Linked DNA regions of Drosophila melanogaster. The protein of the gene in region 1 interacts with the protein of each later gene in a pairwise test. Each region holds a gene or a part of one and is shown on either strand. Other genes may lie near its edges. The genes, in order: CG7465 and CG13840.

Evidence for each region.
Region 2: the proteins of CG7465 (region 1) and CG13840 interact in a two-hybrid assay, tested with the Drosophila melanogaster proteins (one large-scale study listed by BioGRID).

The regions. Positions count from the first base shown.
Region 1 is NT_037436.4:4,478,310-4,482,055, forward strand, and holds CG7465 (uncharacterized protein), read left to right. Parts: upstream 1-1,973; 5' UTR 1,974-2,021; coding exon 2,022-2,024; intron 2,025-2,103; coding exon 2,104-3,066; 3' UTR 3,067-3,178; downstream 3,179-3,746.
Region 2 is NT_033777.3:22,813,951-22,818,410, forward strand, and holds CG13840 (uncharacterized protein), read right to left. Parts: upstream 2,229-4,460; 5' UTR 2,088-2,228; coding exon 687-2,087; 3' UTR 533-686; downstream 1-532.

The DNA.
Region 1 (3,746 bases):
GCCAGTGAATAAAATGTAAATTGGCAAAGCCATAAATTCAGCTCGTTAATACTCGCAGTTTTTTGAGTATTTTTAAGTGCTGCACACATACAGGAAATTAAGTGATTTATCTCACGCGTACAATGGCAGGCCAAACTAGAATTGTAAGGCTCTCAACCTTTATGCATTTGGGAATAGGAAAACTGATATAGTTGCTATTTGATACCGACCAAAGTGTTTATGGTCGCCGCGTTAATTAGCCAAACTGGTGCTATTAAGGTCCGTCTTCTCAGATTGGTGGCGATTGGTGGCGCGTGACAACCATCCATCACCGGCGCAATCCCCACAACCACCTCCATTCATCTAAAACTTCGGGCAACCCCATCGATCATGGCCTTGACTTTCACGGCTGTACTTTGACCCGAGTTATATAGCGATTTTTCGATGAATCGATTGGCGGTTGATTAGTCATCGTTTATCCTTCACTTTACGGAACCGATTAGTTCTTAGCACCTCTAACGAGCCTTGCTTCATGGCTATTTATTTTAGCTTCGATGTTGCAAATACACCAAATAAAGCATGTACTCCCCCTCTCCGCCAAAGTTAAACCATTAATCATTTGCTGCACTTTGACTCTTAACAAATTGATTAGCTTGACTTGATGGCCTGCCTTCTTTTTTTAAACGCATTAATATCTTCAATTTAATCATTCAATCCTATTTTATCAACTGGCGCATGCGTTTAAAATTAAACTAACTCATAAATAAGCGAAAATAAATACTCCTTATATGCAGGTGGAAACAGATTAACTTGATTTATTCGGACATCCCTTGCATGTCCATGTTTAATTTTGGAAACAATTGGTGAGAGGTTTTTAACCAGAAGTGACACAAAAAATCACTTGCAGATTAAATGTCACATCTGGATGATATTGAAAAATGCTTAAGCTGGGATTAAGTGTGCTGTGTCAACCAAATTGGTCGATTAATAATTATAAGAAAACATGTTTTTAAAAGTAAGCTGTACCTATTACGATTTCAAATCAATGTTTTATTAAAACTTAAATTTTATTTTTAAATAACAATTATATATTTTAGACATATCCATACTGTTGTCTTTTTTAATGTCAATAAATATTATTAGCCATTTCAAACTTAGTAATTGATAAGCGCGCATCCGCACAAAGCGGATTGTTCTTAGAATTCACAATGGGATCTTCTGAAGATCTCGTCATCCTATATCCGGCATTCGGTTTACAAACTTATACAATTCGTACGCATCAGGCATAATTATATCATATTTCCAAAAATTGAATGGCTCGCTTGGTCAGTTCCTATTTGTTGATTAATGAACGGCGAACGACATCGCCACAATGGGAAGAGGCTGCGATCGAAATAATCGACTTTTTGAGTGGCGATTCGGAAAGCTATTGAAGTGAGCGAATTTGATTGAAACATATAACTCATCATTTGAATTTATATCGAGCGCAATTCCAATAGCGGCTTGAATGAAACCAGGCAGGTGGAGCGAACACAAAGAGGTGTAAACAAGACGAGAGCCAAGTTAATACGGATATATGTATATGTTTATATATATTTGTATGTGAGTATCTTTGCGCGCTCGACTTGTCCAAAACGTTGATGTCCATCAAATCTTTTGCATATGATTAAATAAAACAATTAAGAGAATCCGTGCGAACGATTTTGGCCATTAAACATTTTTTTTTTAGCCATCAACTGCTCCGAAGCTATAGCTTGTGCGAATGTAAGCGTCGCAGTCGCCGTCTATCGTGTTGGCCAAGCTGCGTTTGAGCCGCAAAAGAGCGGCTTAGAACCCGTAGCTTAGCCAAACCAAAGCCGAAGTCGTGCGAATTTACAGACGCTTGCGCCGGCAGCGACGTCTTTTTGGGCAGAGGCGCAAAAAACGCCAGCTCTGTAATAGCCAGCGAAGAGCGGAGAATCTGTATAAATACCAAAAGGTTCTGCGTATTCCTCATTAGAGTTTCGGTTTTACTGCTGTGAACAAGCAACTCATCGGACAATATGGTACGATTCGACAATTTAGGAGCCATCGAATCGCCACTGAAGGACTAAACTAAACAAATTTCCCAACTGTCTCTTGCAGAAACTCTTCCTGGTCGCTTTTGCCGTGATCGCAGCCGTGGCTGCCGATGTCAGCCACCTGCCCTCCAACGAGTACCTGCCTCCCGTCCAGGAGCAGCAGATCATCGCCGGACCCAGCAACGAGTACCTGCCTCCCGTGCAGGCCGAGTCTGCCCCCGCCCATGAGCTGGCCGATGATGGCTACCGGTACAAGACCCACAAGCGCGTGGTGGTCCGCCGCCACCGCCGTGACGTCAACGAGCTCTTCAACGAGTACCTGCCCCCCTTCGCAGCTCCTTCCAACGAGTACCTGGCTCCTGCTGAGGGTGCTCCTGAGACCATCTTGGCCGATGATGGATACCGTTACAAGACCCACAAGCGCGTGGTAACCCGCCGTCACCGTCGTGATGTGAGCCACTTGCCCTCCAACGAGTACCTGCCCCCAGTCCAGGCTGCTGCTCCTTCCAACGAGTATCTGCCCCCAGTGTCCGCCCCCGTCCAGGTTGCTGCCCCAGCTCCCGCTCCAGTTCAGATCGCCGCCCCTGTCCAGCTGGCCGCCCCCGCTCCTGTCGTGGTTGAGGCTGAGCCCGCCCATGAGCTGGCCGATGACGGTTACCGTTACAAGACCCATCGTCGCGTTGTTTACCGCCGCCACCGCCGTGACGTCAACGAGCTCTCCAACGAGTACCTGCCCCCCTTCGCAGCTCCTTCCAACGAGTACCTGGCTCCCGCTGAGACTGCTCCTGAGACCGACTTGGCCGTTGATGGATACCGCTACAAGACCCACAAGCGCGTGGTAACCCGCCGTCACCGTCGTGATGTGAACGAGCTCTCCAACGAGTACTTGCCTCCCGTGCAGTCTGCTCCCTCTGCCGAGTACCTTGCCCCCCAGGAAAACACCGTCGAGGCGGCTCCCGCCCATGTCCTGGCTGATGATGGATACGTCTACAAGACCCACAAGCGCGTTGTGTTGCGCCGCCACTAAATCATCCGATAAAGGCTTCACTAGGTGATCGAATTGTGCTCATTTTTGAGTGCAGACCCTACTATTAGAATACCTCTTTTTCATTCAAATACAATAATACGATAACGAATCCATACATTCAGCTCTTTTTAATTTTATTATGTTGGGTGTACGAGCTGGGTGATAAAAGGTTATATGTATAGAATTGACTGAAGGAGGAATATATTCGGATAAAACATAAATCTTTGCGGATAATATATAAACCAGAGAATAATAAAAAACGACAAAGTTTTTAAACATGTATTAACCTATTTAAAAATAATAATTTAATGTAATAATATAAAAAGGTTTTAGGGCTAGAATATATTCATTATTTCACGATCTAATTATACACATAAGAACGTGGGATTAGAGAAGCAATATACACTTGACACATAATCGAAATTGAAATCTATTTATGCCGAAGCTTCCGCAATCTCATCTTCAAAAAGTTCAAGCCTGCTTAACGCTTTTAGACCATTTACCTACAAAAGTAAGGGTATGTTAACTTTCTTGGATGGTGTGTCTTTTTAATATGCCGTTATTAATTTAATAGGTTTTTATGACCTAAACGCTTATGTAATTTATTAAAATGTTATTTTATAGTGGATATATTATTTATATACGATTTGCAATTAAATATAGAAACGTTTTGTTAGCAG
Region 2 (4,460 bases), on another chromosome or scaffold:
ACGCCTCGGCGAAGTTGAACGTCGCGTTTATTTGTGCGTCATTGTTGCTCCTTCTGCTGTTTCAGTTAAAAGTTGTTTCAACTGGAGTTACATTTGGCAATTAGCCGCTGCATTTTCTTGCACTTTCGCTGCAGCCCCCTTTTGCATTGCAACCGGACTTCAGCCTCGTTCTGCCCATCGCACTTCAATACATATTTATTAGCCGCATTTGTTGGATTTTAGCTCAATTAAAAAGTTTTACTCGGCTACTTTTCTTCATTTCGGTTTGGGACCTGCCCTGTGACTCCAACTTCAACTTCGACTCCGAATGTGTTGTTTTGTTTGGTAGCTGTTAACTGGGAGTTAGAAACTTGGATTTGGGATCAAGGAGTTGCATGCTGGATGCTTTTGCAGCCACACTGCAGTTGCTGTCGGTGGCCTTTTTTGTCTTCTTGTTTTGCTAATTGCAATTACTTTTTGGGGTTCAGTCACTAGAAATTAAGGCATAAGCTGAATTTGAAATACTCTAGCCGTTAATCAAACTGCATAACATGAAAAATTAATAAATGTATTTAATTCAACTTAAGAACATTCCACCAAAAATATATTTATCGACTACCCTACAGTTTGTACTTTTACTTTACAAATCAAAAAACCCCTTTTGCAAGGGTATAAAACTGGCTTAAGAATTTATTCTTAAGATAGACTCATCCCAGCAGATGATTGCCGTTGGCACTCCAGCCGGGTGCCACGTAGTGGGGGCGCTGCTTGTGCACCACCGTGCGCACCACTGGCACTTTGACCGGATACGGATAATAAACTGGCGAGACCACCGGCTTCTCCACTCGGTAGGGTACCCTGCGCTCAACCACAAAGGGAATGGGCCGCTCCACGGGCACCGGCTTCACCCGTTCGATGGGAATCTTAACCTCTTGCATCTGGGGCACGGCCACCGTTTGGGCCACTGGTATTTTGATGGGCATGGGCTTGGGTATGGCTGCGATCACGGTTCGTGGCACTTGCACCTGGACGTTCTGCTTGAAGGGCACATGCTGCTTCTGATAGTGGGTGATGGGCACACTCTTAGTGATCTCGATGTGCTTGGCCAACGGCAATCCGGCTACCGCTTTACTGCTCTCCGGAGTATGGTGCACACTGGTGGTTATGGCTGGGAGATCTGCAATCTGGCTATCCTTGTGAGAGTACAACATCTGCTGGTCCTGGGCAACTCCCAGGCGCTGGTGATGCCGTTGATCCTGAGGATATTGCAGCGCATGTGGCCGCTTTTGTTGCAGATGTTGTTGCAAGTGTGGCTGTTGCAGCTGTCTGCTTTCAGGTTGCTGATAATGTCGCTGCTCCAGTGGCTGGCTTTGCTCCCGGTTTGGATGATGACTCGATAGGGACTCTTCCTGCTGACGCTTAACTGGATTGGCCGGTGTCTGGAGTTCTTTGAGCCGCGCATAGATACTAGTAATATCCTCCTGCTCCTGGTGCTGCTGCTGCTGATGTTGCTCCACCTCCTGCTCCCGCTGGCGATTCTCCCGGTAATTGGAAATTTGTTCGAAATGGTAATCGCTGGGACCGGGTAGCGATGTGGCAAACTGCACCCGCGGCCGATATGCATAGCTTTCGTAGTGCTGCTCCCCATGATGTGGCTCCACATCGTAGCCAGCGGAATTTGGCTCATAATTTGCCGTATTAATGACAAAATCGATATTGGCGGATGGGTCGCGACGCGGCTCCTCATCCGCGGTGAATGGCGAGTGCAGTTTGCTGTTGTAGTAGAAGGGCACAAAGCCATTGGCCGTGGTGCCAAGGGAGGATTGCGAATGGCGATGGTGCTGTTGATGGGTGGCGGCCAGGAGTTTGTGAGCATAATTTCCATATGTTGCCAAGTCATCGCCGGCTGCAGTGTCAGTGGGGCCATAATAATTTCGCGTATATCCTGTTAATCCCGGCAACGAGTCCACACCCGCATCCTGGTAATGGTGTTTGCTGCCATGTTCCAGCGACAGGCCGAGCGGGTACTCCGCCAGGGATAGGGGCAGTGGGGCATCTATGGCCTCCATTGTCATGGCCAAAGCGAGCCACATTAATGCATAGATCATTAATGAACTGGTGGCAGGTGACCCAAAGCCTTGGCCGGATTTTGGCCGCCCCATAACGTTGGGTGGTTGTGTGTGTCCTGAAATCCTGAACTCCTGTGTCCTATATCCTTTGTTCCAATCCGCCAACGGAGTGCGTGTTTGGATGCAGCTGGCGTGGGTGTTGCTCCGCTTTGAAATGCAAATTTGTGACATCGCGATGCTGTTTTTATAGCACACACACACTCTTCAAATGCTTGGAGCGCTCTACTTGTAATTGGATATCCTCGTTGGCACTTCAAGTTCATTGGCCAATCCACCATGGATTGTGTAAGTGGAAGCCCATGCCCAGGCACTCACTTTCACTCGGCGGCACACACCAACTGTTCCAGATAGTCCCTTTCTGGTTGTTCCTTTCAGATGCAAGTGAGGCGGCGATCCGCTGTCCGCACAATTCGCAATCACAAAATACGCAGCTATACCGCAATTGCTAGCCCGCAATGCACATCGACCTATGCACTGTGGTCTAATAGGGCTCAAAAATTAAAAAAGAAAATCTATTGTGGATGTGATAAAAATGGTAAAAATGAAGTTATTAAATTAAGTAAGTTTTGTTTTGAGTGCATAAATATTGCTTCCTTTTTAAGCTAGCATAATATTTGATAATTTTCAACATAGCTGTAACCACTGTGCACCGGTTGGCTCCCAGCCGCATCGGATTTCACACTGTGTGGCAGCTTGCGGTCAATGTCGCGGCCATTCCGATGTTTGATTGCACAAATGGTGACGTGCGCTTCATGTGCTTGCGGTCCGGTCTTTGCCAAGTGCAATCGCCGGAGATTTGAAACGCGTCTGAGATCTCGGATTGCAGCACTTTCAATTTTCATCTGGATGCATTCGACGACATTTGGTATCGTTGCTCTTGCATAATTTACCAGCCACGCCTTCACTCACTCAAAGCTGACAATGCACTTTGGGTCTAAAGTGATTCAATTTTAAAGAACCTTTGCGGGAATAGCATTCTCAGCGATTTTATAGTGCACTCAGCAAAATAGTTGATATAAGATTATAATATTTCTATATTCAGGTTTGTAGAATTGAAGATACATTTAATATGTGATACATAGATATATTATACCTTAGTTACCATTTTTGTGTTTTCTGCCATTCGTAGTTCGTTTAAAGTATTGTAGTGTTATTTTCCGATTTTAATCTTATATTTGTGATTTTCTCTGCGAGTAGTTGCCTCTGGCGGGAAATCAAGGGAAAGTCGGCGAAAAACGGAGATAGAGCGAGTTCTTTTCGTTGCTAGCCTGGCATCCTTGGATCATTCATCATTCTGCTCTGCATTTAAGTTTGCAAAGTTCACCAGGTTCGCATCGCCACCTTTCTCTATATACATATATATATATATATTTGTATATATATAGACCCACCTTAGCCACGCCCCCTTAGAGCGGCGTTAGCAGCAACGCCCACCGTCACCGCACTTTTGAAATAACAGCGCAAAGTACAAGTAAAGTGTATTTTCACATTGAATGAGGTTAAGCTTCGTTAAATTTTGCGCAGCTTCACTGTACAGTTAAACCTCCCCATCCATATCACCTGGAACGAGAGTGTGTGTGTTATACTTGTTGGATGCAATTTTTTTCGCTTCTTTTTCATTACTTCAAATGCTTTCAAGCCCTGTGAAGCATATTTTAGCAAAGTTCCCATAGAAAAGAAGCCAGCCAGCTAGCCACCCAGCTTAACATGGCCAAAATGTGTAAAGAAAAAAATCTACTAAAAAAAAAAAGAACAGAAAATAAAAAAAAGTGAGTAGAAAAAATCGACAAAACGATGGCAAAGTTAAATGCCTGCATACACATACTTATTAAAGTTCAAAGTTTTCTTTGGCGCGCTCTGCATAAAATCCATCATAAAATTAACAGGCGGAGAGGAGCAGCAGGAGCAGCAGGAGCAGATTTTGCTGTGACACTGAAACTTCATTAAGTCACGTTAAAACGTTAAAATGAGAAAACGGTCGAAGGAAAGGCAAAAATCCAGCAGCCAGCAAAAACAGAAGCCAAGGCAGCCAGCAAATAGCCAAGAAATTCCAGCTATGGCATAGTTGGCAACGTCGCTGGCCTTTGCTTGACCCGCTCGGAGGTGGGTTTTTTTTTTTTTAATGGGGGACTCAGAGGCTTCGGCGGATACGGCGGACTCCGATGTTGTGGGTGACTCGGGGTCGACGGTCATCGTTGCATGCGAATTTAATCAAGTCATGCAATAGAATTTACGGTTCCATTGCCTTTCGGCCGTCGATGCCGATGGTCGTTCCGTCCTCGTTTGTTGGTCCACTCCCCACAAAGATTTGGCCCAAAACTTGGCCTTGGCTGTATAGTTTGGGCCCTAATG